6 linked regions of the Oryctolagus cuniculus genome follow. The protein of the gene in region 6 interacts with the protein of the main gene of each other region in a pairwise test. Links are inferred from orthologs where the notes say so. Each region holds a gene or a part of one and is shown on either strand. Other genes may lie near its edges. The genes, in order: MAD2L1, ZMYND10, NRBP1, TEX11, POLR1C and TSC22D4.

Region 1 (4,135 bases), on a different chromosome or scaffold from region 6:
AGAGAATACATCCAATTAACCTCTATAAGTATTGAAGGATTTTAATATTGTATATATGAATGGCAGTTAAATATTTACATATTATCTAGGGGATAATGTAGCTTGAAAGAGAGATAACATGGTAACAAAATTCAGATGCCCATCAACAGGGCACTTTAAAAACAAAGTTCATGAAAATACAATGAAAATTATAAAGCATGAAGCTATAATTGAACTAAAAAATTTGAGAAAAAAAGGATTTCTGAATTTAAAAATTCCCTTCCCCTCAAAAAAAATATTTAGTTACTGTAGCACTCTTTGGAAATAACATGGGAAGCCAAATTGAGAGAAACACACTACAACATAGAAAATTAGAAATAAAAACCCTAGGCAGAGAAACTAATAAGAGTTCCCGAAGTAGGTAAAAAACCAAACAAATGGAGATCAAGTTTTGATCCAACAAGGAATACAATTTCTTGAGCTAAAGCAAGTGTTCACACAGAAAAATTTGTGAATTTTTCTAACAAATGGAAGTGGTTGAAAAATAAGAAAACTCTACTGGATATCTATTGAGTAATTATTCTTTTTTCTATTTTTGAAGTTTACTTCCCTAGTTGCATTCATTTTTATTTTCCTTGATCTTAATCTAACAACTTTATAGACGCCAGTTACAGAAAACCAACATACCATATAAGAACATATACCGTACATTTTCTTAAATAGATAATGAATGCCATTGGGATCATGCAAAATTCCATGTTGTTCCCCTGGCCACATTACCTGCAAAAGCTATTTCAAAGGGATTTGATGCTAACTGTTTTGTTAAGGCTGTGTAAGGTTTCTGAAAGTAAAATATCCAGCCCACTTAAAATGTAGTGTGTGTGTGTGGGGAGGGGGGTGGATAGGGTTTCTACCAATCTACTTCAATCACTATTATTTGCTTCCTCCCAATTGAGAATCACTATATTTGAGATGGTTGTTTTTTTTAAAAAATTAATACTTTGATATAGGAAGCTGAAAAAGGCCATTTAGCATGATAGAAAATGTAGCTCTAGGAATGCCTGCAACACTGGAATTTTTTCCAATGATTAAATACCTTTTAGTTGTTCCACCACATTATTTAGGTATTTGATAAGCTCAGGATCAGTAGTTACAAGCAAGGTGAGTCCATACTTCTGCACTCGAGTAAAGGTTTCAGATGGATATATGCCACGCTGATACAAAATGCTGTTGATGCCAAATGCTGAAAGCAAAACAAACATGTAAGTCATTGTCCTTTTGTACCAATGGAAAATAAAGTATGTTTAAATGTGACTAGTTTCATTACTCTTAAAAAACTGAAAATGGTTACACACATTTATTATATCTCGTGGAAACCAAAGTAATCAGAGTGCCATCAACATCCTTTAATTCAGGTCTGCCTTATGGTGCAGGTTAACTCAGTGCCTGTGACGCAGGACATCCCATACTAGAGTGCTAGTCCAAGTCCTGTTCTACTTCCCAGCCTTCTTTCTGAGAATGTGCCCTGGGAAGGCAGTAAAAAATGACCCAAATGCCTGGGTCCTTGCTAGCTGTGGGAAACTAGGACGGAGTTTCAGGCTCCAGGCTTCAGCTTGGTCCAGGCCATTCAAAAAAATAAGTATTTTTAAAAATCCTTAAAATCTTGTTACCAAGAGACAACTAAACAAAAGAAAAATGCCAAACTGCCTTAACCTACCACTTCCCAATTTTACCGTATTGTAAGGCAAGCCCAAGTTCAGATTATGTGTTCAGAAGACGCCAAACTAGACTTTTGCGACCCAGAAAACACGTGAATGAGTTTCTGGTCCACTGCGTCCGGCTAGCCTCTCCCTCTTTTTCCTCCTCACTGTTCTTTGAGGAAGTACAGCTCCCACACCTGGGCTGAGGGTGGAGTCTAGGTGGAAACACACGCGCTCATTTGGTGTCCCAAGCCTCTAGGAGGAGGGCGGGGTGGGTGGTGAAATATGGGGGGAGAATGGGGGGAGGCATCAACATATTAAAGAAGCATTTCGCTCCGTTAGAGGCTAGGCCCGGAGGCAGGCCTCAGGGGCACCTAGGCCTCCCCCTGTAGCATCAGCATAGAGACCGCACAAGCGTCCGCATCTCCTCTCCCCACACTCCTCCCGGGCAGCAGAAGGCCTGCAGCGGCCAAGGCTTCAGGGGTCCGCGAGGCCGAGCCGTAGGCCTCCCGCGCCGCCAGGCCTCAGGTATCCCCACCCTCCGCCGAGCGCCAGGAAGACTCACAGAAGAACTCGGCCACAATTTCAGCGCTCCCGCGCAGGGTGATACCCTGCTCCCGGGCTAGCTGTCGCGCCATGGCCAGACCCACGGACGCCAACGCGCGCTTCCGCTCCGCAGACCCAGACGGCGGCGGTCCACAGCAGTTCCCCGCCACCAGTTTCAAATGTAACGACGCAGCACGCAGTCGCGCCCTTTGCGTAAACGCGACGAGCCTCTAAGCCCCGCCCCTCGCGGCGGGGCCCTGCCCTTCCTCTCTCGCCTCCCCGACTTCGCTGCGGGGGGGGGGGGGGCAAGGAGAACGACAAGGCCGCTTTGCGCAGGCGCAGTTGGTGAACTTGGTCGCCAGGTTCCAAGTTTCTACGCTCTGATGTGGTGTTGGGAGATATTCTCTGGCGTGGTCGCCCAGGTACTTGTTTGGCCGCGCAAAGAAGGTGGAAGGTCTGCGTTTAAATGGTCGCTTCATAGACCTGTGGCTTTAGTGACCAAGAGAGGCGCACTTCCTAAATTTGAGAGATAACTGTCAAACTGTTGTGAGCCGCCTGGCCGCTGCACCTGAAGCAACCCGCAGTGCACGCTTGGGGGATTTTTAAAGGAACAAAGTATGCAGCTGCCAAGTAGTTTAGGCAGGCCTGGTGTCTTTGTGGGAACGCGGCTTTTCCGGAGAGACGGAGTTAGAGATTAAAGCGACAAACCGCATCTTGCTTTTCTGTCCCCTGCCAAATCTGTCTGGAAGTATGGCCTTCCGTCACAGACCAGGGTGTGTGTTTGTGGGGGTGGGGGTGAGGGGCGGTTGAGACCTCCTCCAGGTTCTGTCCTTTCTATCCATCTTTAGGGGGCTGGCCTAAACCTCACAGAAGAGGCCCATCGACACTGAAGAATTAACTCACTGAATTTTCATTCGCAAATTCAATAGGATGAGAAGTGTTAAGGAGGTAGTGCACAAGTAGCATTGATGTCCATTGTGAAAGGATTCTTAAAGCATCTAGGGAGATCAAGTCTGAAATGTAAAATGAAGTCTGAAAAACTCTCCTATCTGCCAGACATATGCATACTGTTATTTAAGTATATGAGAAATGCTTGAGTGTGTGTGTTTTCTATTGCTTCGGAACAGAGTACCATAAATTGGTGGCTTAAATAAAAAAAAACACCAATTGTTATCTCAGTTATGTAGGTACTGAGCATGACGTAGGTTCGATGTCACACAAGGCTAAAATCAAAGGTCTGCAAATGTGGTCTCATTTGCTGTTTGGGGTCCCCTCCCAAACTCCCTGGTTGTTGGCTGGCAGAACTACATTGCTCGCCGTTGTTGGAGTGAGGTCCCCGTGTGTTGTCTTGCATGTTTGTCACATGTCTTTTCCCATTTCCAGTCTCTGATTTTCAGGAGACCCTTGATCTTTGGGAGAGCTCACCTGAGTAGGTCAGGTCACCTCCCTTTTGATTAACCTAATCCCAGAAGTGATATTCCCCTTATAGTTTTAGGTTCTGCCCAAACTCAAGGCAAAGGGATTATATTGGATGTATCCCTTCAGGGGCTTGGAATTTGGGCCTCCATCTTAGCATTCTATTAGTGTTATGTATCAGATTTTTAACCATTTGAAGTTTAAAAATGAACATAATCGGTAATAGGCTAATATAACCCAGTGAAATATTTTCCTTATATCCTTTATTGTGTGTATGTGTAGAAACTGCAATCTTTGATATTAGGGACAATAGGTGATGTGAGGGTAAGGAGAAAGAAACTTGGATGTTCTTCATCCCTTCTACTGGGAGCTTAAAAGTAGGACTAGAATTTGCCATCAGACTAATAGTGTGGTGTCCACCTTTCTCTGTATAAAATTTGCCTCTCTTTCTAAGAAACTCCATGTTAAAACAGCATTCAGGAAAGAATTTCTTG
Region 2 (4,001 bases), on a different chromosome or scaffold from region 6:
AGGTCTGCCAGGTTGGGCAGCTGGTCCAGGAGGGTGTCTGTGAGAAAGGGCCGAAGCTGCAAGGGAATCCGGGGGAGGCCAGGGTGAAGCTGGTGCCGGCCAGGGGACCGGGGCCAGGGACCAGGGAAGGCCTGGGCTGGGCTGAGGGTACCTGCGGGGCCTGTGTCGCATTGGCTGTGTCACCTGAAGCTCAGGTCTGGAAGGAGGACTTGGGTGGGGGTGGGGAGGGGATGGGATGGGGAGGGGTGGCGCTGGGCTGGAGCAGCTGGTGCAGGGGAGCCCCCTACCTTGAGAAGCTGTCCCTTGGCAAAACTCGTGAGGCAGTAGCGGGCCCGGGCCTCAGAGCTCAGCAGCAGGTTGTACAGGGCGATCCACACCTGCCCATCCAGCTTGCTCAGCTTTTGCTGCTCCGAAGGGGCCACCGTATGCCAACGGCCGCCCTCAAATCGCTGCAGCTTGCCTGGGGAGAGGGGCGGGCAAAGCAGTCTCTGGGAGCGAGTCCGCTGTGCGGGCGGGGGAACTGACCGCTGCCTGGGCATGGTGGGAAAGCCTGGGCCCCCGTGCAAGGTGAGTCCTCAGTAGTGGACACATGGGCCCTGCCTGCTGCAGAGCCCAGCTCTAGGCCCACTTGGGATGAGGCATCCTGGTATCCTCTGTGAGCTAGGAGCAACGTTTGTGTGCAAACTGCCCACCTGCATCGGTCCTGAAGGGTGGCCTGGGAGCTGGGGCGGGTGGGGGGGGGGGCATCTTACCGCCTTCCCGCCGGCTCCAAGGACTGTGCTCCAGCAGCTGCACCAGGAGGCAGGGCAGGTTGTGCGTGCTGAGCATGCGGCTCAAGGTGCTCAGGGAAAGGCTAGGGGCCGGGGAGGGAGGAGGGAGGTGAGCGGAGGCTACAGGCGCCGCCAGCCACCTAGGCCCCCGAAGGCTGCCCACCTGTCCACGCAGTCTGTGATGTAGCGCAGCACCGACAGGGCTTTCAGTGTGATCTCAAACTCCATCAGCTCTGCCTGCTTCTGCAGCTCCTGCAGGGCCACACGGTGCTCCAGCTGTGTCGGCCCCACCCCGACCCCCTCCTGCACAGGCCTCGGGGAACCTGGACCTGTGCCTTGCCCGCTTCAGGGATTCTCAGCCCACCTGCATGGGGGTGCTGTCCTGGGACCCCTCCTCCTCCCGGAGACCACTCTGGCCACCCCGGGCCACCAGAAGAGCCAGTTTGCGGTGGCAGTAGTCCACCAGGTCCAAGACGGTGTCTTCTGCCGACTCACACACCTCCTGGGGGGCAGGCAGAGGGGCAACTTTCGGTCTCTGATGCCCTCCCCGCACAGACACAACGCCCCTCGGGCCAGGCCCCGGCCTGCACCTCACCCTGTGGAAGAACACTGTCTCAAGGAGGTTGATGATGGAGGCCTCGTGGTGTACCTGCCAGAGAGGACAAGGCCACCGGGGCTGCTGGGGAGGGGGGGGCGGGGACACCAGCTGTCCTCCCCAGTCCAGGGCCCTCCGACGGGGTGGGAAGAGGCGTGAGGTGGGGCCCAGCGCACCACCATGTATATGGGGAAGGTGTTCTGGGGCTTGAAGTCCTCCAGCTTGCACAGCACGGGCAACACTTTCTGCTTCCACATCTCCACGGTGATCAGCTCCTCCACCAGCGTCGGGATCTTCGGAGGGTGAGGGAAAGAACAAGGGTGGGCGGGCTGGCCTTAGCCTGGCAAGCTTCCCCGGTCTGCCTTGGCCCAGCTCAGCTCTTGCACTCCCCGGAGTCCCAGAGACTCCCAGGCTGCCAAAGGACACATCCCAGCATGTACCCTGTTTCCAGCTGCCGCCAGCACCTCAGTGGGGACACCCTCTGCCCCTGCAGCCGTAGCACCCCTCCCACACGCAGCCTCCATCCACTCTGTCCTCTGTCCCCTAGGGCCCTTCCCTCTCACTGTGCCCACTGCTACTGCTGGCAGAGGATCCCTTCTGCCAAGTGGCATTTCAGGTCATGTGCTGGGGCCACCCCTGGTCCACGCTCCAGCCGGGCATCGGCATGGGCTCCAACTCTCCCCTCTCGTGTTGGGGAGGCTGCCCCCGCCAATGCCAAAGTCCCACTCGCACTCCAGTGGGGAGCTCGTCAGGCCTTGCTGTCAATCCAGGGACGCCTTCAGCCCTGAGGGTGCGGTGGGAGAGGAGCGACGGGCAGCGGCCCGTCATACCTTCCCGTGGGTGACCAGCAGCTCCTGGATGGGCTCGCTCTGGCTCGCGGTGGCATCCAGGATGGCCTGCATGTTGAGCTTCTCCAGGCTCTCGTGCTGCCGCGTCCACCTGCCCCAGACGGGACGTGTGCGCATTTGGGTGCACAGGTGTGCCGTTACGTGAGGGCGGGGCTGCATCCTCCTGAATGCAGCCCGATTCTCAGGAGCGAGGGGGGCTCCGCAGCGACAAGCTTTAGCCTCCAAGATCTCTGCCTCCCGCCCGAGCCCCTGCGCACTGGGCGACCCCTTCCCCGAACGTCAAACCCAAGCTCTCCCCCACTCAAGGCCTGCCGCGGTGACTCGGTCTGACCCAGCCGCCTCACCCTTCAGTGCCCATCTCTCGCAGCGGGAAGCTGCGCAGACCCCGCACCAGCACATCAGCCTCCCCGGGCAGCAGCAGCTCCAGGTCGCCCATGTCGGGGCCAGGGTCCCCAGGCAGAGGCTGGGGAGCGGGGGGCGCTGACACACGTCAGGACGACGGACTGCAGCGGGGCCGAAGTCTGGCACAGGACGGTTGTGGGGCGGTTGCGGCGCGTGGGTCCTGGTCGCCATGTAAACGGGTGAGCCCGCGCCTGCGCAGTGCGGCCGCGGCTCCGCCCCGCCCCTGCTGTCGGCTTCGCTAGCTAGCGGAGCCCGCTGCCCTGGACAACCGCGCCTGGGCCGGACTCCGGCCGCGGCCAATACCTGGGGCCGGCACTGGGCTGGGGAATCCGGACTCCGCCAGTTCTGGCAGCCGTGCCATCCTGACCACCGGATGTCTCATCGTGGTTTCCCGCAGCCTGCTCTCCAGGTGCAGCCCAGGGCCGGCAGCGTTCTCTCCGGACCTGCTCCTGTCCCGGCCCCTCCGCCACAGCCGGGAGCCTGGAAGGTGCGCGTCACACACACGCCCTCCCTCGCACGGCGCCGCTCTGGGCTCGTCTCGGACCCTCAGAATCCAGGCCCAAGGCAGCTTCCTAGGGTCCCCCTTTCTCTCTCCTCACTCGGGACTTCGATTCTGCCGTCTCCCCTTTGCCTCCTAACCGTCTCCCCTTTGCCTCCTAACAGCCCCGAGGCTGGCCCGTGGGCTCCTTATACTCCCCAGAGTGGCTTTTGCCTTAAGTTCTGTTGTTAAGATTTACTTTATTAAAAAAAAGGATTTACTTAACTAACTTAGAGACAGAGAGATCTTCCTTTTTTTTTTTTTTTTTTTTTTTTTTTTTGACAGAGTGGATGATAGTGAGAGAGAGAGAAAGGTCTTACTTTTGCCATTGATTCACCCTCCAATGGCCGCCACAGCTAGTGCGCTGCGGCCGGCGCACCGCGCTGATCCGATGGCAGGAGCCAGGTGCTTCTCCTGGTCTCCCATGGGGTGCAGGGCCCAAGCACTTGGGCCATCCTCCACTGCCTTCCCGGGCCACAGCAGAGAGCTGGCCTGGAAGAAGGACAACCGGGACAGAATCCGGCGCCCCGACCGGGACTAGAACCCGGTGTGCTGGCGCCGCAAGGTGGAGGATTAGCCTAGTGAGCCGCTGCGCTGGCCGAGATCTTCTCTTTGCTGGTTCACTCCCCAAATGACTGCAACATCCAGAAACAGGCCAGGATGAAGCCAAGAACCCAGGTCTCCCACGTGGGTGGGTGGCAGGGGCCCAATCACTTGGGCCATCATTTACTGCCTTCCCAGGTGCATTAGCAGGGAGTTGGATCCAAAGTAGACTAGCTGAGGCCAGCGCTGTGGCACAGTAGGCTCAGCCTCCAACTCTGCACCAGCATCCCATAAGGGCACAGGTT
Region 3 (4,193 bases), on a different chromosome or scaffold from region 6:
CTCAGCCCTCTGCCTCTCTGCTGAGCCGCCCGCCTGCCTGGCCAGGTGTAATCTTTCCACTCAATCATGTAACCTTGCTCCCCCACCCCCATCCGAGCAATGGCACTCTCCTGTCTAGAGAGGTGCCCATCCGCCCTTACGGATGGCCCTTCCTTAATAAAATTTGCTACTTTTACCTTCCACTAAAAAAAAATTTTTTTAAATAATAATAATAAAAAAAGACACAAATAAGTTAAGGTGCAGCTTTTGTGGCAAGAAGTAGCACAGAATGTAACCTTTTTTCCTGGAGTATGGCTACCTGAAAAGAGAAAACTTTCGAAAGCGGAATATCACTGCCCTGTGCAAAAAATCACCAGACAACCCCAGAATGGTATTCTGTAAGAACTAAGGTGTGAAGGGGTAGGAACCTGTGTGTGCTGGGCTCAAGGGAGCATTCTCCAATATGAAGGTGACACCCGAGAAGTAACTTTGCTCCTCTAAGTTCAGAGTGCCAGAGGCCTCCAATCAACACAAATCATTTGAAAGCTCACAGCTCTTTTTAGAACTCTCAGCTCTCAGTTTTCTCCTGAAATGCCACCTGGCCTACTAAGCGTATTCTCTTCATTAAATTTTGCTACCTCACTTCTATTGTCTCACGGCTGAAATTCTTTTCTTGGGGCCAGAGTTGTGACATAGCGGGGTAAGTCACCACCTGCAATGCTCCACTTCCTATCCAGCTCCCTGTGAATGTGCCTGGGAAGCAGTGGGAGATGCCTGAGTCTGCCACCCCCATAGGAGGCCTGGATGAAGCTTCTGGCTTCAGCCTGGCACACCCCTCCATCCCCACCCCGCCGCTGTGGCCATTTAGGGAGCGAACCAGTAGATAGAAGAGCTTCTCTGTCTTTCTCTCTCCCTAACTTCGCCTTTCAAATAAAATAAATCTTAAAAAAATTATTTTCTTGAGCAAAGATAGGGACCCCTGATCCTGCCAGGGCTCTAGGTTGAGTATCATCCTAATTAATGAAGCCTAGAATCTCTTAACATAATGATCTGCCTCTTTCAGATCTCAGTCAAATATGTTCTGTAGCTACTTAGGTACCCTCCTATATTCTCCTGATAAAGTCAAGCCATCAAGGACGGTTCCCAAGGGACTGCACTGATGTCCAACCCACCCAGTGAACAGAGCCACACCCGCCTTCAGCACCTGGTTCAGCAGCCCACCCTCCCTCTGCAGCCTCCATAAAAACCCCAGATCATCCTCACCAAGCAGGATGATGGTTCCTGAAACTCAAAAGTCTGCTGCCTCCTCACCTATGAATAAACTTTCTCTTTCTTCTACCTTCAAAAAGAAAAAAAAAAAAAAAAAGGAAAGAAAAAAGAAAACTCTCTGATGCCCACATCTGCCCTCAACATATACCATAAGGCAAACCATAAGGTTTTTATTAGATGACATTGTAGTGACCACCAAATGGCAATGAGGCCCATCAGAGAGAACTGGCACTCTTTGTCCCGCGTTATTTTCCAGGTCTGTGCCCATCCTAGAGACTCGGCCAGCCAGGGCAGCTATCTGCACGTGTCAGTTAGAAAGTCTATCAGTCATCTTGCAGAGCAGCTGGATTCTCTGAATGCGTCTCGAATTTCTGGCTAGATTACAACAGTAAGCATCAGTGGAATTCCAACACGAGGCTGTTGGAACTGAAAGCAATGAGATCTGAAGAAGCGTCTGGCCCCCACTCATCCACACTAGGGCAGCACAGGAGAGGCCAAACCTTCATCAGGCACAGACAGAAGCCCTTGGAATGGTATTGTCTCCCCCTTCCCCAGTCTTCTCCCGGTGGGCAAAATGAGGACACTGCCCAAGAGCGTCCAGCCGCCCACCATCGGAGACGCAGCCTGGGTAACACGGGGGCTGCTGCCAAGTTAGAGAGAGGCCACATATGGGAAGGCCCGTTTCCAACCACCGGGGGGGGACTCGCCACCCTCGGATGCCAGGCGCGTCCACTCTGGAGCAGCGCAGTGGACCCGCAAAGTTCTTCTCCGAGACTTTGATTTATTCGACCGCAGCCCCCCTCCGCCTGTCAACTTCGCCGCAGCTCCCAGGCCACAGGGCCTCTCGGCTGTCCTTAACGCCGCCGAGCCTCGGAGGCCGCGGGACGGAAAGCAAGCTCCGGGGAGGGAGAGAGGCCCTCCCAACTGCGCACTCCAACAGGTCCGCCCCGCGCGGCGTCCGCGAGGCAGCGGGGCGCTGCGGCCCGCGGCGGCCACCTCATCAAAGGCCGGCCCGCCGCGCGTCAGGGCGCAGGCCACGCCCCCGCGCCGCCGGCGCGCCGCCCGCGAGCAGGCCGGGCCGGGCCGCGCAGCTTCCGCAGGCCGCCCGGCCGCCGCCGCCCCCGCCCCCGCCCCCGCCGCCGGCCCCGCCTCTCGCAGCCCGAGTTCCAAGCGAACGCCGGGGCCTCCCGAGCCGCGCCGCAGAGTTCCGGGGCCGCCGCCGCCACGCCGGGGAGGCCAGGGAGCGCCGGGCGGCGGCCGCGGGGCCGAGCAGGCCCCTCAGCTTCGGCCAGCCCGGGGCGCCGAGTGGAGAGGGCCGCCTCAGCACCCGCCTACCGGGTGCCCCGAGCGGGCCTCGGAGACCGATCCCTCTGTCCTCTCGCGAACCCCTCCCTTCCCGGGACCCCACCGCCCGGGGCGCTCACCTCCCGACTCCGCGCCCCGCAGCCTGCGCTTCAGCTCCAGCTCGGGTTCCGGGGCCCCGGATCGCGGCGACTCCCTCACAGCTGCGCTCCGCAGCGCAACCGAACTGCGGGCCCCGCCCTCGCGGCGTCCTGACCAACAGATGGGCGGTGCCGCGGCGCCGTCAGGTTTCCATTGGACAAGGCGGCGGGGGGCGGTGCCCGCCGGGCGGCCGCTCGCCGGGCTGCTGCTCAACCGGGTCTCCTCCCCGACGGCGAGTGCCGCGGGCGCCGCGCGGGGCTCGGGCTTCTCCGTCCCAAGGTGGGGCTCGCCCACGTCCAGCCCCCCGGCCGGTCCTGGTGCCCCCGAGGGTCCTGCTGGGCCCGAAGAAGGGCCTCTCCCTCTTCTGGAAGGCGCCATGACAGTTCTCATGCCACGAAAAGACAAAAGGAGCGGGCGACGCAGCCTCGGTCTGAGGGGAGCGCTCGCTGCCGCTCGTTCGTTCCTTCGGGGCGATGCTGTGTGCGCAGGGCACCAGATCTTCGGAAGGCGCTTTTAAAAGTCACTTCGTACTGAAAATTAATAGCGCTCTGTGATTGCACAGCACTGACGGCTGCCAAACTGCGTGCAGGCGCCTGACGCAGATCCGCATCGTTTGATCCTGGTGGGAACGAACTCGTGGAGATTATCGTTCGGTGACACCTGACAAACGCAAGAGTAGAGAGTCAGAGCTAGAGTCCCAAACAGGAAGACTCGCGGGAGACTTCCTTGAAGTGACATTCGGAACGGGTGTAGACTGGTGCGGCGAGGAGGTGCGAGCTTGGGGCTGCGACCTGAACTCGGAGCCTGGGGGGTGAAGTTCCCTCTGGCACCAGACGCGAATGGTGGAGGGCGGAGGCTGGATCCCTCACCAGGATTGGGGAGTGTCTTCATCTCCCGGGGTCGCTGGCCTTAGAGGGATCTCTAAACCTTCAGAGCATGTTTATTAAAAAAAGAAAAAAAAAGTTCGCACTCACCAAATTTAATATATAATTTCAGAGTGTTGAGGCTAGAATCTTTGTTCTAATCTCAAAGAAAATAATGTTCTTGCTGCTCTCCAGATTAACCTTGTCCCTCTGTGGGCTCCAAAACAATTGGGACATCTGACCCATAGTAAATGTTCATTAAATGTCAGTTCCTGTCATGGTTATAGTTTCTAATTTCTTCTGAATGAGCCTTAGCAACCTTTTGCTTTCAGCTAATTCCTTTCAAGTACGCATAGAGGATCCTTTGACACCTTCAGGCTCTCGTTCCAACCTTGCATTACATCTGGCATGGTCAGACACTGCCTGTGTTTTCACCCCCACATTTATTTATTTTTATTTTTCCTACTTATGAATATAGAAAATGCGTGATTGTAAAAATATCACAATATTTCAAAAATATTTAGTACTATACATAGTAGCTTCTATGAGCTAGGGCGTGTTTTAATTGCCTCGTGATATATTAACTCATTCAATCCTCACACTTATACAAATTTTTTTTATTTATTTATTTTTTTTTTA
Region 4 (3,500 bases), on a different chromosome or scaffold from region 6:
ACTCTCCTAAATGCTGACTGTTCCTTTTTGTTTTCTGTAGGTTTTGTGACTGAATATTGATAGAGGAGCATTTTCTCCAATATCCCCCAACCAGTCTGGGGAGATGTGAACTTTAAAAAATTATTTTTCTAACTTTTCTCTTCTAGATGAATATTAAAACAGGAAGAGGCTGGATAGATATTGGAAAAGCTGTGCGTTCTGATGAATTTTTTGAAGCTGCCATTGTTGTAAGTTACCTTTGATTTTTAGCTGTGGCAATTATTAGTAACATCTGTGGCTGTTCTCATCCCCACATTGTATTGCATTTTTATTTCCCAGGGTCTGGAGCACTTATATGTCAGATTAGTGGAGAGGAGTTACACTGAGGCACACGTGATCATTCAGAAGGTGGCTGTGGAGAAGGACCTCTTCAAAGTCTATTCTCACCAAGCAGAGTCAGTAGGTATCATAGGCACACAAGCCTTACTACGGGGGCAAGTTATAGATGTAAATGCAAGAATAATGAGAGGTAATCTATTAGAAGAAAATCAAATGTCACTGGCCATTTATAGGATGCTATATTTGATCTTTGGATCTTGTCTAATGTCTCAAGGAGACATGACTAATGGTGACTGGATCTGTATGGGAGTGAATGGGGGTAAATGACTAATATATATTTTCAACCACTGCATGTAACATCTGTCATTTATTTGTGGCAGCAGCCTTTTCTTGCAACACCTGTCTCCGTGACTGTCTCTTACATTCAGTCTGTCAAATATTCAGTCAAATATTTACTTGAGAAGAGTCTTTTCATTTGCTGTTGTTTTTCATTTACTATTTTTTTTATTTTAAAGATTTATTTATTTATTTGAAAGTCAGAGCTACACAGAGAGAAAAGGAGAGGCAGAGAGAGAGAGAGAGAGAGAGAGAGAGAGGTCTTCCGTCCTCTGGTTTACTCCCTAATTGGCTGCAATGGCCGGAGCTGGGCCGATCCAAAGCCAGGAGTCAGGAGCTTCACCCAGGTCTCCCACGTGGGTGTAGGGGCCCAAGGACTTGGGCCATCTTTCACTGCCTTCCCAGACCATAGCAGAGAGCTGGATTGGAAGTGGACCAGCCAGCACTTGAACTGGCACCCAAAAGGGTTGCCAGCACTGTAGGCGGTGGCTTTACCCACTATGTCACAGCGCTGGCCCCTTGATAATTTTTTTAAAAATAAAGTTTATTTATTTATTTTGAAAGTCATAGTTACAGAGAGAAAGAGGAAGAGACAGAGGGATCTTCCACCTACTGGTTCATTCCCTAGATGGTCACAACAACCAGTGCTGGGCCTGGCTGAATCCAGGAGCCAAGGAGCTTCATCCAGGTCTCCCATGTGGGTGGCAATTACCCAAACATTTGGGCCATCTTCTGATGTTTTTCCCAGGCCATTATTGAGGAGCTGGATTGGAAGTGGAGCTGCTGGGACATAAATTGACACTCGTGTGTGATGTCAGTATCACACGTGGTGGGTGGCTTTGCCTGCCGTGCCACATTGCCGGCCCCTTGATGATGCTTTAAAATATCTCCTGTTATCACACAATGTTCAAAGTTGTACTTTGCCTCTGTTTGCATTGTAGGTTTCCTCATTTTGTTATAGTTAGGTGTGCATTTTCAGTTGACAAAAAGCAGTGATGAATTTGCTTAATGTAATTATGTAATCCTGGAAATGAAAGAGGCACTAAAGTCATCTAGTATAGCCCCCTTTTTTACTTTTTATGATTTTTATTAAGATATGATTTATATACCATAGAATTCACCCATTTACAATGTTTAATTCAGTGCTTTTAGTGTATTCACAAAATCGTTGAGGCCATTTGCGGAGTGAACCAGTGGATGGAAGACCTCTCTCTGCCTCTGCCTCTGCCTCTCTGTAACTCTGTCTTTCAAATAAATAAATAAATCTTTTTAAAATAAGAGAGTACAATGTGAGATAGGGATATAGCTTCATTTACATGTGGTTATCCAGTTGTCCCAATATCATTTATTGAGAAGACTATTCTTTCCAAATTGAGTGATCTTGATACATATATCAAAAACCAATTCATCATAAATGTGGAGGTTTATTTGTGGACTCTTATTTCTATTCCATTGATCACAATGTCTATTCTTTTTTTTAAAATTATCTATTTGAAAGGTAGAGTTAGAGAGAGAGGGAGGGAGGGGAGAGCGTCCAGAGATCCAATTGTTTGCTCCTCAAATGTCCTCAACAGCTGGGGCTAGGCCAGGCTGAAGCCAGGAGCTGGGAATTCCATCAGGGTCTCCCATACAAGTGTCTTGGGGCCCAAGTACTTGTACCATCTTCAGCTACTTTCCCAGGCTCATTAAAAGGACACTGGATCAGAAGTGGAGCAGCCAGGACTCTCTCTCTCTGCCTATGCCTCTCTTTAGCTCTGTCTTTCAAATAAATAAATAAATAAATAAATATTTTAAGAAGGATTAATAACATTAATATGTGGTGTCTCTTTCATAGGAGCATAAGTTTTTGGGAGATCCAGAAATGTAAACATGCATTTCAGCAGGGTAATTGCCTTGAAGTAATGTGGATGAAGTTCTTCAGTAAAACAAAGGATTAGTAGTTTATTTTGATGTGAAAATTAAGAAGATTGTGAATTTTGGGGGAGTATAAAAGGGACATAAAATAGATATTTTAAATTGCAGAGGAGAATGAGATTTTTTAAGGTTTATTTTATTTATTTGAAAGGCAGAGAGAAAGAGAAAGAGAGAGAAGGAAAGAGAGAGAGAAAGGGAGAGAGAGATCTTCCATCCATTGGTTCACTCCTCAAGTGGCCACAGTAGCCAGGGCTGGACTAGATTGAAGTCAGGAGCCAGGAGCTTCATCCAGTTCTCCCACATGGGTGCAAGGGCCCAAGTACTTGGGCCTTCTTCTGCTGCTTTTCTCAGGCCATTAGCAGGGAGCTGGGACTCAAACTGACATCCATATGGGATGCTGGCACTGCAGGCAGTGGCTTTACGTGCTATGTCACAATGCCGGATCCATTTTTTAAGGTGAGAGATGAAGTAATTTTTAGAGGGATACAGTAGGAGGATATGGCATGCTATAAAGTACTTGAGGAATATGATAGAGTCTGTCCACCTGTGTGGGAAATATACTGCAGAAATCAACAAAGGGGAAAACTCAGTTTTATTGAGCATCTACTATATGCTTGACATAGTACTAGGAGCTGTAGTGTTCCTAATTGCTTAGCTGGAGTGAAGGTCCTATTGAAGTTAGCATAAATTCGTAGAGGGTCCATTTAGCATAGTTTACAGTGGATGACAGTGCCCTCTCTCTGTCTCTCTGTCTCTGTCTCTCTCTGTCACATAAATAAATAAATATAAATAAATAGTCTAAACAAAATTTTAAAAGTAAAATACCGTATCTGTTAACTAAATTCTTCAATTCTTAAATGGCTGACCCAAGCCTCTTCTATAAATGCTTAATAAATCTTTACATATTTATTTTTTATTTGAGAAAATCTTGC
Region 5 (4,000 bases), on a different chromosome or scaffold from region 6:
GAGAAGCACTGGCTCAGCTCCTCAGCCGCTTCCCCTTCTATGGGTGCAAGCAGGGTAATGTCTGGCAGGAGCCTGTAACTGGCTGTCGCCACTGGTGAGAACTTGGCGTGGTCCTTGCCTGCAGGGAAGGGAGAGATCAGCCTGGGGGAATCCTCTCCCGAGCCACTGAGCGCGAAAGCCCAAGCCCACCGCCTTCTGCCGGTCAGGAGCATCCCTGGATTCCTGCGGCGACTAAGCTACGCCCTGCACCTGAGGCGGCCCACGGGTCTCACCGATGCCCTTGACACAGTGCATGAGCAGGTCAATCTCTTGGCCAGGTCGCAGCTGGGCAATGAGGATATCATCGTGCACCGGCCGGATAGTGCCCTCAGGGAAGAGGTCAGCCTGGTTCCCCAGGGGAACCCACGTCATGTGCCTGGTGTACACTGGAGGGAAGACAAGTCAGAGGGCTGTAGCCCCGAGACGCCCCCACAGCCAGCAGCCAGGCCTCCCTCCTTGCCCACTAACCTTTGTGATTCACATAGAGCTCGTTGGGGTCAGAGGAATCTTTAGCAGCGTGGGGGTTCCGAGTGCACCTGACCTGCAGCCGAAACTGCAGAGTGTCTATCTCTGTGCCCTCGTCGTCCCCTGCACAAAGGGAAGAGGCGGCCCTTACAGCAGCAGTGAGCATCAGGGTAGACACTGCCGAGTGCTACCCGTGTGCTGCTCCTCTCGTCCACAGATGATGAGTCACTTGCCCAGGGCCACAAGAGTCAACCCAGGATTCGAACCCAGGCAGCTGGTCCCAGGATCTACTAAGGAAGAAAGCGGTTCCACTTCCCCCAACAGCTTCATCTCCCAGGCCCTCACCTTGGTTCCGATATTCAAACAGTCGTGGATCAGCATGAATGGGAATGAGCCCCAGGCGGTGAGCCAGGATCTCATCCTGCACGATGGATGTGTTGTTGTACACCAGTACCTTCTCCACAGCCATTGTGGGCACCTACCCAGAGACCAGGATTACCCGTCTATAAAAACCCGGCAGACTCCCCACCTCCTGAGATGGACAACTCCTAGAAGAATGCCTCATAAAAACTTAAAGCAAAACACTCCACAAAATCGGGGGGGGGGGGGGGGGGCAACTTGAGACACTGACAGATGAGGTGATGGCACACTTCCCCACGCTCCAGCCGTCACCGGCCCCGCTGATACCTCCGCCAGCAGAATTCGCCGGAAAGCATTGGCAATGGCCGCATCAATTCCCACCATGTCAAACTCCAGCGAGTTTTCATCCATGTGTACCACATCCACGCGGAAGTTCTAGAGGCAAAGGAAAAACAAGTGGATGGAGCCTGCTCTTGGTGTGACCTGGCTACAGCTCCCCCTTGACACGGAACATCCCCGCTCCCCCAGAAGCCTTCCTCTGCCCAGCAAAGCCTCATTTGATGTTTTCTTCCTCTGTTCTTTTAGTTTCTTGAACAATGCCCCCAGTTTTGTATGCCACTAGTTGAAAATCCTATGCAATATGGCTTGAGCCAGAAGCTATTCTATGAAGAGCAGAAACTTCTATACAGTTTAGTCCAGCTGACAGGACTCAGTTCTTTTCTTACTAATGTTACATTTGGCATTGAATTAAAAAAAAAAAAAAAAAAAAAAAAAAAAACTCCTTTCTCAAACCCCATCTCCTCCGTGTCTGGGCACCAGTCCTCCATCTGAGGAGTTGCGTCTCCTTCCACCCACCACCTAGGTGTTACCGGTCCCCAGCTTCTTGTCTCTCTCCAAAGTGACATCAACCACACTCACGGTTTTAGCAACTACTATGGACAACTCCCCACATTCTGTCGAACGCTCTCCTGGGCTGCTAGCTCCTCCACACCGCGGGGAACCGAATGGGTCATCGTTCCCACTGCCCAGGCACCGCCAGCCGTCAGATGAGTTCCCACAGCCAGAAAGTCCTGACCGCTCTCACCAAAGCACTCCTGGGCTCCTTCCCCCAGCACTGCCTAGCGATCTGCCCGCCCCTTCTCCTCCTTCTCAACCACCAAAGCTGCAAACCGGATCACCTGGTCACGCCTGCTCAAGAACCCCCAGTGCCCGCCGTCAGGCCAGTGTAACATTCTATCAATAATGCGCGGTTCGGACATTCTAGGGACACGCCCACCCCGTCTTTACAAGTTAGCTCGCTTACTCCTCCCTCCTCGACCTTCACTCACCGTTCAGGGCTCAAACTCAGATGTCACTTCCTTCAGGGAATCCTATGATTCTGCCCCAGTCTAGACCGTCTCTGAGGGGTGCCCCACCCCCACTCTCAGCCGCCGTCACCGCATCCAACTAGAATGACCTGTACAGGCCTGAACAGCTCGATCGCAGAACAAGGCAGAAGCCCGGTGTGCAAGGAGCGCCCAGGACACGGTCGGATGCTGAGCAAACTTGGTTTTGCCACGTGAGTGACCCCTGGGAGCAGCTCGGAAGCCCGGGCTGCTCCGATCACACTCCGGCCCCACGCACCTTCTCGAAGCGGTCCTGATCCCAGGCATCATCATAACCGGAATAGTTCCCGGGGAAGTCGGTGGTATGAACCTAGAGATACGGGTCCGTCCGTGAAGAGGCAGCGAAGCCAAGCCCGCCCTCACTTTGATCCCGACCCGTCCCTCTCATACTTCCTTCTGAACTCAAGGCCACAAGGCTTACATTCCGAACTCCGAACTCCCCTAAAACCACGCGGCTCCGCATTTCTTCAACGGCCTGAGCCGCCGCCATCTTCGACTTCCCCCACGAGACTAAGGCCTCACGCCTGCGCGTGCGTTCTAGCGGCTTTCCTCCGTCGCCGTGGCAACGCACCGCCTCCCGGAGCCCGACGTATCGCGAGACTTTGCCCCGCCTCCGTCCACGTCCCCAACTTCCGGAAGTCTGTCTGGGCCAAACATCCGGGTTTCTCTTTTTTGCGTTCCGGCTGGTGGCGCCTGTCCTCGGCCCTGGACGTCTCCGTGCCTCAGGCCCACGTCTGCCCCCTCTTCCTCCGCGCGCGGGGCTAGCGCTGGCTTCGGGGACGGGAGCCCTCCAGGGACATGGCAGCCACCGCGGCGCCGGCCGGCGGCGCTCGAAACGGGGCCGGCCCGGAATGGGGCGGGTTCGAAGAAAACATCCAGGTAATGGCCCCAGCGCTTCGGCTGCCGGCCACCCCGACGTGTCTGGGGAAGCCTCCCTCGGGGCCCGAAAGCTTCCTCCATTTGCAACACTCCTCTCCCCTTTGGGTCTTCGTGCACGGGAAAGTCAGTGAAGCTAGTGCCGGCCGGAGGGCCTCGGGTCTCTGGACGCGCCTGAGGCGTTAGGAAGAGAGACAGAAGAGGAGGTCAATCGGGGTCAAGCGGGGCAGTGGGCGGGATTCGCTGGCACTCGCCAGAAACATCTTGTGTGCATGGTCTTGCTTGCGCCTTGCAAACCCTCGGGGCCTTTGATGGGGAAGGTGGGGAAAAGGCATGAGCGGAAGACAAGTAGGTGGCTTCTCGGGCTAGAGGAGAGCGCCGGAACCAGCAGCCAGGGGGTTCTGAGAGAAAGTGAGGGGTGACAGTGGCCTGATGTGCGGGGATTCGGAGGCGCGGCGCCAGCAGCGGGGCAGGGACCAGAAAGGCCTGCACTGTAGGAGGCATTGCCTTCACAGGGTGGGGGCTCTGCCGTGATTGACATGGAGAACATGGATGACACCTCGGGCTCCAGCTTCGAGGACATGGGTGAGCTGCACCAGCGCCTGCGCGAGGAAGAAGTGGACGCCGACGCGGCCGCTGCGGAAGAGGAGGATGGGGAGTTCCTGGGCATGAAGGGCTTTAAGGGGCAGCTGAGCCGGCAGGTGGCTGACCAGGTAAGCGGGGCTGAATCCTTGGCAAGTGCAGGATACCTGCGCGATCTGGAGTCGTGTGGGTGACCTTGACCTCAGGCTGCCCCAGTTGGAGCCCAGTAGAACCCCGACAGAAGCTAGGGAGCAGGACCCCAGGGCCAGGAGCCTCACGGGCCATCCCCGCAT
Region 6 (3,935 bases):
GCCAGGAAGGGGGAAACATTCTCATCCTCACCCTCCAGGCCTTCCCCCTCACCCCGCAGTCCAAGGTGTTATTTTCTCCTGCAGAACAGAAGCATCCAACCCCACATTCCTGGCTGCCCACCCCCACCCCAGGGACCCAGGCATCCTGCCCCCAGCCCAGACTTGTTCCTCTTTTGGAGACAGGAAGCAGAACGCACAGGACTTAACTCCTCCTCTGCTGCTTCCCGCCTCTCTCCCACGCCACGGTGGCCACCCCTTGTTATCAACCCCAGAGGGGACAGAGGCAGGAACCAAGACAGACCCCCCCACCAGGGGTGAGGCGAGCCCCCCATCCCGTCCAGTGCCCCATCCACCCAGTTCCTCAGTGCCTCAGAGAAACATGGCTTGCAGCAAGGGTGGAGATGAGCCTGGGCTGGGCACTGGCAGAGAGAAGACCCCGCGCTTAGGATGGAGCTGCGTGGAGAGGTTGAGAGCAGAAATCCCACCTTTTGCCCCCTGAGCCTCCCCCCGCCCCAAACCCTGGCAACTCCTCGACCAGGGGCCGAGTCACCCAGCCCGGGGCCTCCACCCTCATTACCTGGAGCCAGAGGGAGTGAGACCCCAAGACAGAAGGTGGTGACCAAAGTGAGCAGACCATTGTAGCTAAAGGCTATATGGAGACAGGGCAAGAGCCAAAGGCAACAAATTAAAGGCCACAGAGAAAGAAGGTGTAGCTTGCAGGGAAGAGGAGCCCCAGGGAGAAAGCAAAGGACAGCAAAGTGCGACGGCAGAGAGAGAAAAGAGGTGCCACGGATGAGACAGATGACAGTGGCGGGGGAGGGGAGCATGGCGGTGAGGCTCCGACTGAGATGCCTGAGCAGGGCCCTCAGGAGTCTCCCCCAACCTGGAACCTGGCTCTTACCTGTCCAGCCTCCTCTGGAGCAACCAACTCCATCCTCAGTCGCAGGGCTCCATCTTTCCTTCGGGACGCTGGAGGGGTCCCTGCCGCCGGGCCCCCAGCCTCCACTTCCACCCTTAGGGAGGGCAGGGGCACGGGAGCCAGGGATGTGCCGGCGCTATCCCCAGTCCCAGGCTCTGGGAGGCGCTGCTGCGGTGGGGAGGCCGCCAGGAGGGGTGTCTCCACCTTGGCCTTGCCGGGCACCGACAGCTGGCCCAGCCCGCCGGTGAGGGAGCGGGCCTGAGGTCCAGGGGAGCTGGGGGGCGGACGCAGCCAGGAGGTGGGGCCCTGAGACAGGCCTGGCTGTGGGATAGGGGCGCCCAGGCCCAAGCTGGCCAGCTCCAACCTGGAATCCAGAGATCGACCCCCAGTGCCCCCCGAGGCTCCCCGGATCCCCTCCAGGAGCCGGCCGAAGCTGGGGGGCTCCAGGTCTCGCTCGTAAACATCCACACACGTCCAACGACCTCGGCGATAAGGCTCTCCCAAGCCGTGGGGCAGCTTCACCACCCGGAAGCGGGAGGCAGGGGCCCCAGGCGGTGGGGAGCCATTCCGGGGGGTGCTCTTGCCCCCTGGGTCGGGGTTGGGCTCCCCGTTGGGGAGGCGGGGCGGGGGCCCCGCAGGGGCCGGTGGGGCAGGGGGATCGGAGCCGCCGGGGCTCCCTGGGCCCTCGTAGTCCGTGGTGACGCTGGTGATCTGGAAACTACTCTTCTTTTTGCCTCCACTCATGGTCCCCGGAACTCAGGACTGGGCTGAGGTTGGGGGACTGGGGCTCTTTGAAGGGGCTCAGGCACCCCTAGAACAGGGGGGCCACATTGCGGGGGCATCAGGGCCCCTGGGAACATCTGGGTCCGACATGGCCAAAGGGCCTTGTGGGAACTGGGGGTGCCCGGCTGATGACAGAACAGGGTAGGGGAGGTGGCGGGAGGGGGGAGCAGGGGCAGGTTTTTCCTGCTGCCGCCGCCGAACTCCAGAGCTGAGTTTGCAAACTGGAAAGAGAGAGAGAGCGCGGGTGCGCGCGCGTGTGTGAGAAAGCAGTGGGCAGGCCACCTCCGGGGCTTCCTCTCTGGGGAGCAGAATTGGAGAGGAAGGGGAAATCGCCAGAGACCCAGAGACAAAGAGACAGGCAGGGGAGGCCAGAGAGCACGGCGTGGGGCACACAGACTTGGGCATTTCTGGCCTGGGATTCAAACTCAGGGGACCCAGTTTGTCCTGAGCGCACCGGCTCCAGGTCCTGGGTGAACCAGGGTGAGGCGGCACCTCCAGGCCGCTTGGCGGACTCTGCTGGGCCTCCTCCAGGCACCCCGCACCCCGGTTCCCACATCCCAGGGGCAGGCCCTGCCCGCGCCCCAAGCGCCGCGCCGCGCCACGCCCAGTCCGGGGGCCTTACCTCTCGGTCTCGGCCACCGAGCTGACCGTGGGGGTCCCGGCGCCCAAGGTGTTGGGCTGTCTTTTCCCGGGGGCCTCCTGGCCCCGGGGTGGCGCGGGGCACGCAGGCGGCGGTCAGGGGCAGCCCAGTCCTGTTCGGGGGCCGCACCTCCCCCTGCGAGGCATCTCCGTGGAAAGTTTTCGCTCCAGAAAAGGAGTCTGCGCCCCCTCGGCGGAGCCCAGGAGCCGCCTCCGAAGCCCGAGGTCTCCCGATAGCTGTGGGAGGGTGCGGCTCAGCCCCCCGCGGCTCCAGGCGGCAGCCGGCCTCGGTGGTCCCGGCGAGCGGGTCTCGCACACCTCCTCCCGCGTGGTCCCGCTGGACCTGTCTCCGCTCCTCGGCTGCTCTCAGTCTCGTCTGTCTTTCTCTTTCGGGGCTGTTGACAACCCCCACACCAGGAAGTCCTGCCTCCTCGGGCCTGCTGACTGCTCCTCTCCTCCTCCTCCTCCTCCTCCTTCCCCTCTTCCTCCCCCCTCCTCCCTCCTGGGGCTCCCCGCCAGCTGGCCCCGGGCCAGGCCCGCCACAGCCGCCGCTCTTGCAGTTGCTTCTGCTCCTGGGGCCCCAGACGGGCTCCCTTAACCCCACACCTGCTGGGCCCCGGCCCGGCGCTTCCTCGGAGGGCGGGGCTTCGAGGGCGGGGAGAAAGGGGCGGAGTTCGCCGAGAGACCAGGGATTCCCTTACTTGCAGGCAGCTGGCTGCCATTGGCCTGCGGACGCGCGCCCAGGAGCGGACCAGGCCCGTGCGGGGTGCCCGGCTGCCCAGAAGTGCCTGACTTAAACGTGCCGGCGCGGCTGTGACTGTCATTGTCACAGCTTCTTTGAAAGAGGAAGGGACTATTATTTCCCCCACTCCTTATCTGAAAAAGTGGATTATTATGAAAAACTTCCAACAAAACTGAATAGTGACCACCCAGGTACTTAGCAAGTGGGTTCAGCGATTAGCAACTCCTAGCCCGCCTTCTCCCATCCCTACCCCCAATGTCCTGTATCAGAAATCCTGGACATCATATTACTGAACTACTTGGATGTGAAAATTGAGACCAGAGAGTTTGGAAAAGGCTGTCATTCGTACAGCAGAGACATTCCACACACTCAGCTCTTTTCTATTTATTTATTTGAGAGGCAGAGTTGCAGAGATTGAGAGGGAGAGGCAGAGAGAGAGGTCTTCTATCCGCTGGTTCACTCCCCAAATGGCCACAACCAAAGCCAGGAGCCAGGAGCTTCTTCTGGGTCTCCTACACGGGTGCACGGACCCAAGGACTTGGGCCATCTTCTACTGCTTTCCCAGGCCATAGCAGAGAGCTGGACTGGAAGAGGAGCAGCCGGGACTAGAACCGGTGGCCATATGGGATGCGGACGGCACAGGCAGAGCATTAATCTGCTGCGCCCCAGTGCTGACCCCACACTCAGCTCTTTGTGTGGAACGAGAAACACATTAGGACTTGCAGACAGGAGGCTGACTTTCACTTTCTCTCCAGACACTGGACACGCAGGAATATCCACTTACCCACACAGGTGCACCTGAGGACCAACCCCAGCAGCCACAAGCAGGGCCCCTTTCCCTAGCTCTCCCGC

Evidence for each region.
Region 1: the proteins of TSC22D4 (region 6) and MAD2L1 interact in binary tests that used the Homo sapiens proteins (3 or more experiments, as listed by UniProt). The two-hybrid records come from large-scale screens. The link is inferred for Oryctolagus cuniculus from reciprocal best matches to the Homo sapiens genes TSC22D4 and MAD2L1.
Region 2: the proteins of TSC22D4 (region 6) and ZMYND10 interact in binary tests that used the Homo sapiens proteins (3 or more experiments, as listed by UniProt). The two-hybrid records come from large-scale screens. The link is inferred for Oryctolagus cuniculus from reciprocal best matches to the Homo sapiens genes TSC22D4 and ZMYND10.
Region 3: the proteins of TSC22D4 (region 6) and NRBP1 interact in binary tests that used the Homo sapiens proteins (3 or more experiments, as listed by UniProt). The link is inferred for Oryctolagus cuniculus from reciprocal best matches to the Homo sapiens genes TSC22D4 and NRBP1.
Region 4: the proteins of TSC22D4 (region 6) and TEX11 interact in a two-hybrid assay, tested with the Homo sapiens proteins (2 studies listed by BioGRID and IntAct). The two-hybrid records come from large-scale screens. The link is inferred for Oryctolagus cuniculus from reciprocal best matches to the Homo sapiens genes TSC22D4 and TEX11.
Region 5: the proteins of TSC22D4 (region 6) and POLR1C interact in binary tests that used the Homo sapiens proteins (3 or more experiments, as listed by UniProt). The two-hybrid records come from large-scale screens. The link is inferred for Oryctolagus cuniculus from reciprocal best matches to the Homo sapiens genes TSC22D4 and POLR1C.

Annotation. Positions count from the first base shown.
Region 1 is NC_091439.1:45,314,142-45,318,276, reverse strand, and holds the start of MAD2L1 (mitotic spindle assembly checkpoint protein MAD2A), read right to left. Parts: upstream 2,801-4,135; 5' UTR 2,318-2,800; coding exon 2,245-2,317; intron 1,223-2,244; coding exon 1,076-1,222; intron 1-1,075. UniProt on the Homo sapiens protein: Component of the spindle-assembly checkpoint that prevents the onset of anaphase until all chromosomes are properly aligned at the metaphase plate.
Region 2 is NC_091441.1:98,973,200-98,977,200, reverse strand, and holds the start of ZMYND10 (zinc finger MYND domain-containing protein 10), read right to left. Parts: upstream 2,801-4,001; 5' UTR 2,650-2,800; coding exon 2,558-2,649; intron 2,305-2,557; coding exon 2,196-2,304; intron 1,659-2,195; coding exon 1,542-1,658; intron 1,420-1,541; coding exon 1,366-1,419; intron 1,273-1,365; coding exon 1,135-1,272; intron 1,023-1,134; coding exon 934-1,022; intron 854-933; coding exon 753-853; intron 461-752; coding exon 288-460; intron 57-287; coding exon 1-56. UniProt on the Homo sapiens protein: Plays a role in axonemal structure organization and motility. Involved in axonemal pre-assembly of inner and outer dynein arms (IDA and ODA, respectively) for proper axoneme building for cilia motility.
Region 3 is NC_091433.1:175,555,873-175,560,065, forward strand, and holds the start of NRBP1 (nuclear receptor-binding protein), read right to left. Parts: upstream 2,801-4,193; 5' UTR 2,673-2,800; intron 1-2,672. UniProt on the Homo sapiens protein: Required for embryonic development. Plays a role in intestinal epithelial cell fate and proliferation, thereby involved in the architectural development of the intestine potentially via the regulation of Wnt-responsive genes.
Region 4 is NC_091453.1:50,676,084-50,679,583, reverse strand, and holds part of TEX11 (testis-expressed protein 11), read left to right. Parts: intron 1-146; coding exon 147-227; intron 228-318; coding exon 319-438; intron 439-3,500. UniProt on the Homo sapiens protein: Regulator of crossing-over during meiosis. Involved in initiation and/or maintenance of chromosome synapsis and formation of crossovers.
Region 5 is NC_091436.1:126,548,517-126,552,516, forward strand, and holds the start of POLR1C (DNA-directed RNA polymerases I and III subunit RPAC1), read right to left. Parts: upstream 2,801-4,000; 5' UTR 2,740-2,800; coding exon 2,671-2,739; exon of another isoform or gene 2,640-2,670; intron 2,560-2,639; coding exon 2,488-2,559; intron 2,191-2,487; exon of another isoform or gene 2,124-2,190; coding exon of another isoform or gene 2,043-2,123; intron 1,300-2,042; coding exon 1,192-1,299; intron 983-1,191; coding exon 850-982; intron 628-849; coding exon 508-627; intron 426-507; coding exon 273-425; intron 119-272; coding exon 1-118. Other genes in the region: protein YIPF3, read left to right, coding at 3,048-3,128, 3,641-3,838. UniProt on the Homo sapiens protein: DNA-dependent RNA polymerase catalyzes the transcription of DNA into RNA using the four ribonucleoside triphosphates as substrates.
Region 6 is NC_091450.1:42,686,147-42,690,081, forward strand, and holds the start of TSC22D4 (TSC22 domain family protein 4), read right to left. Parts: upstream 2,801-3,935; 5' UTR 2,325-2,800; intron 1,924-2,324; 5' UTR 1,664-1,923; coding exon 902-1,663; intron 1-901.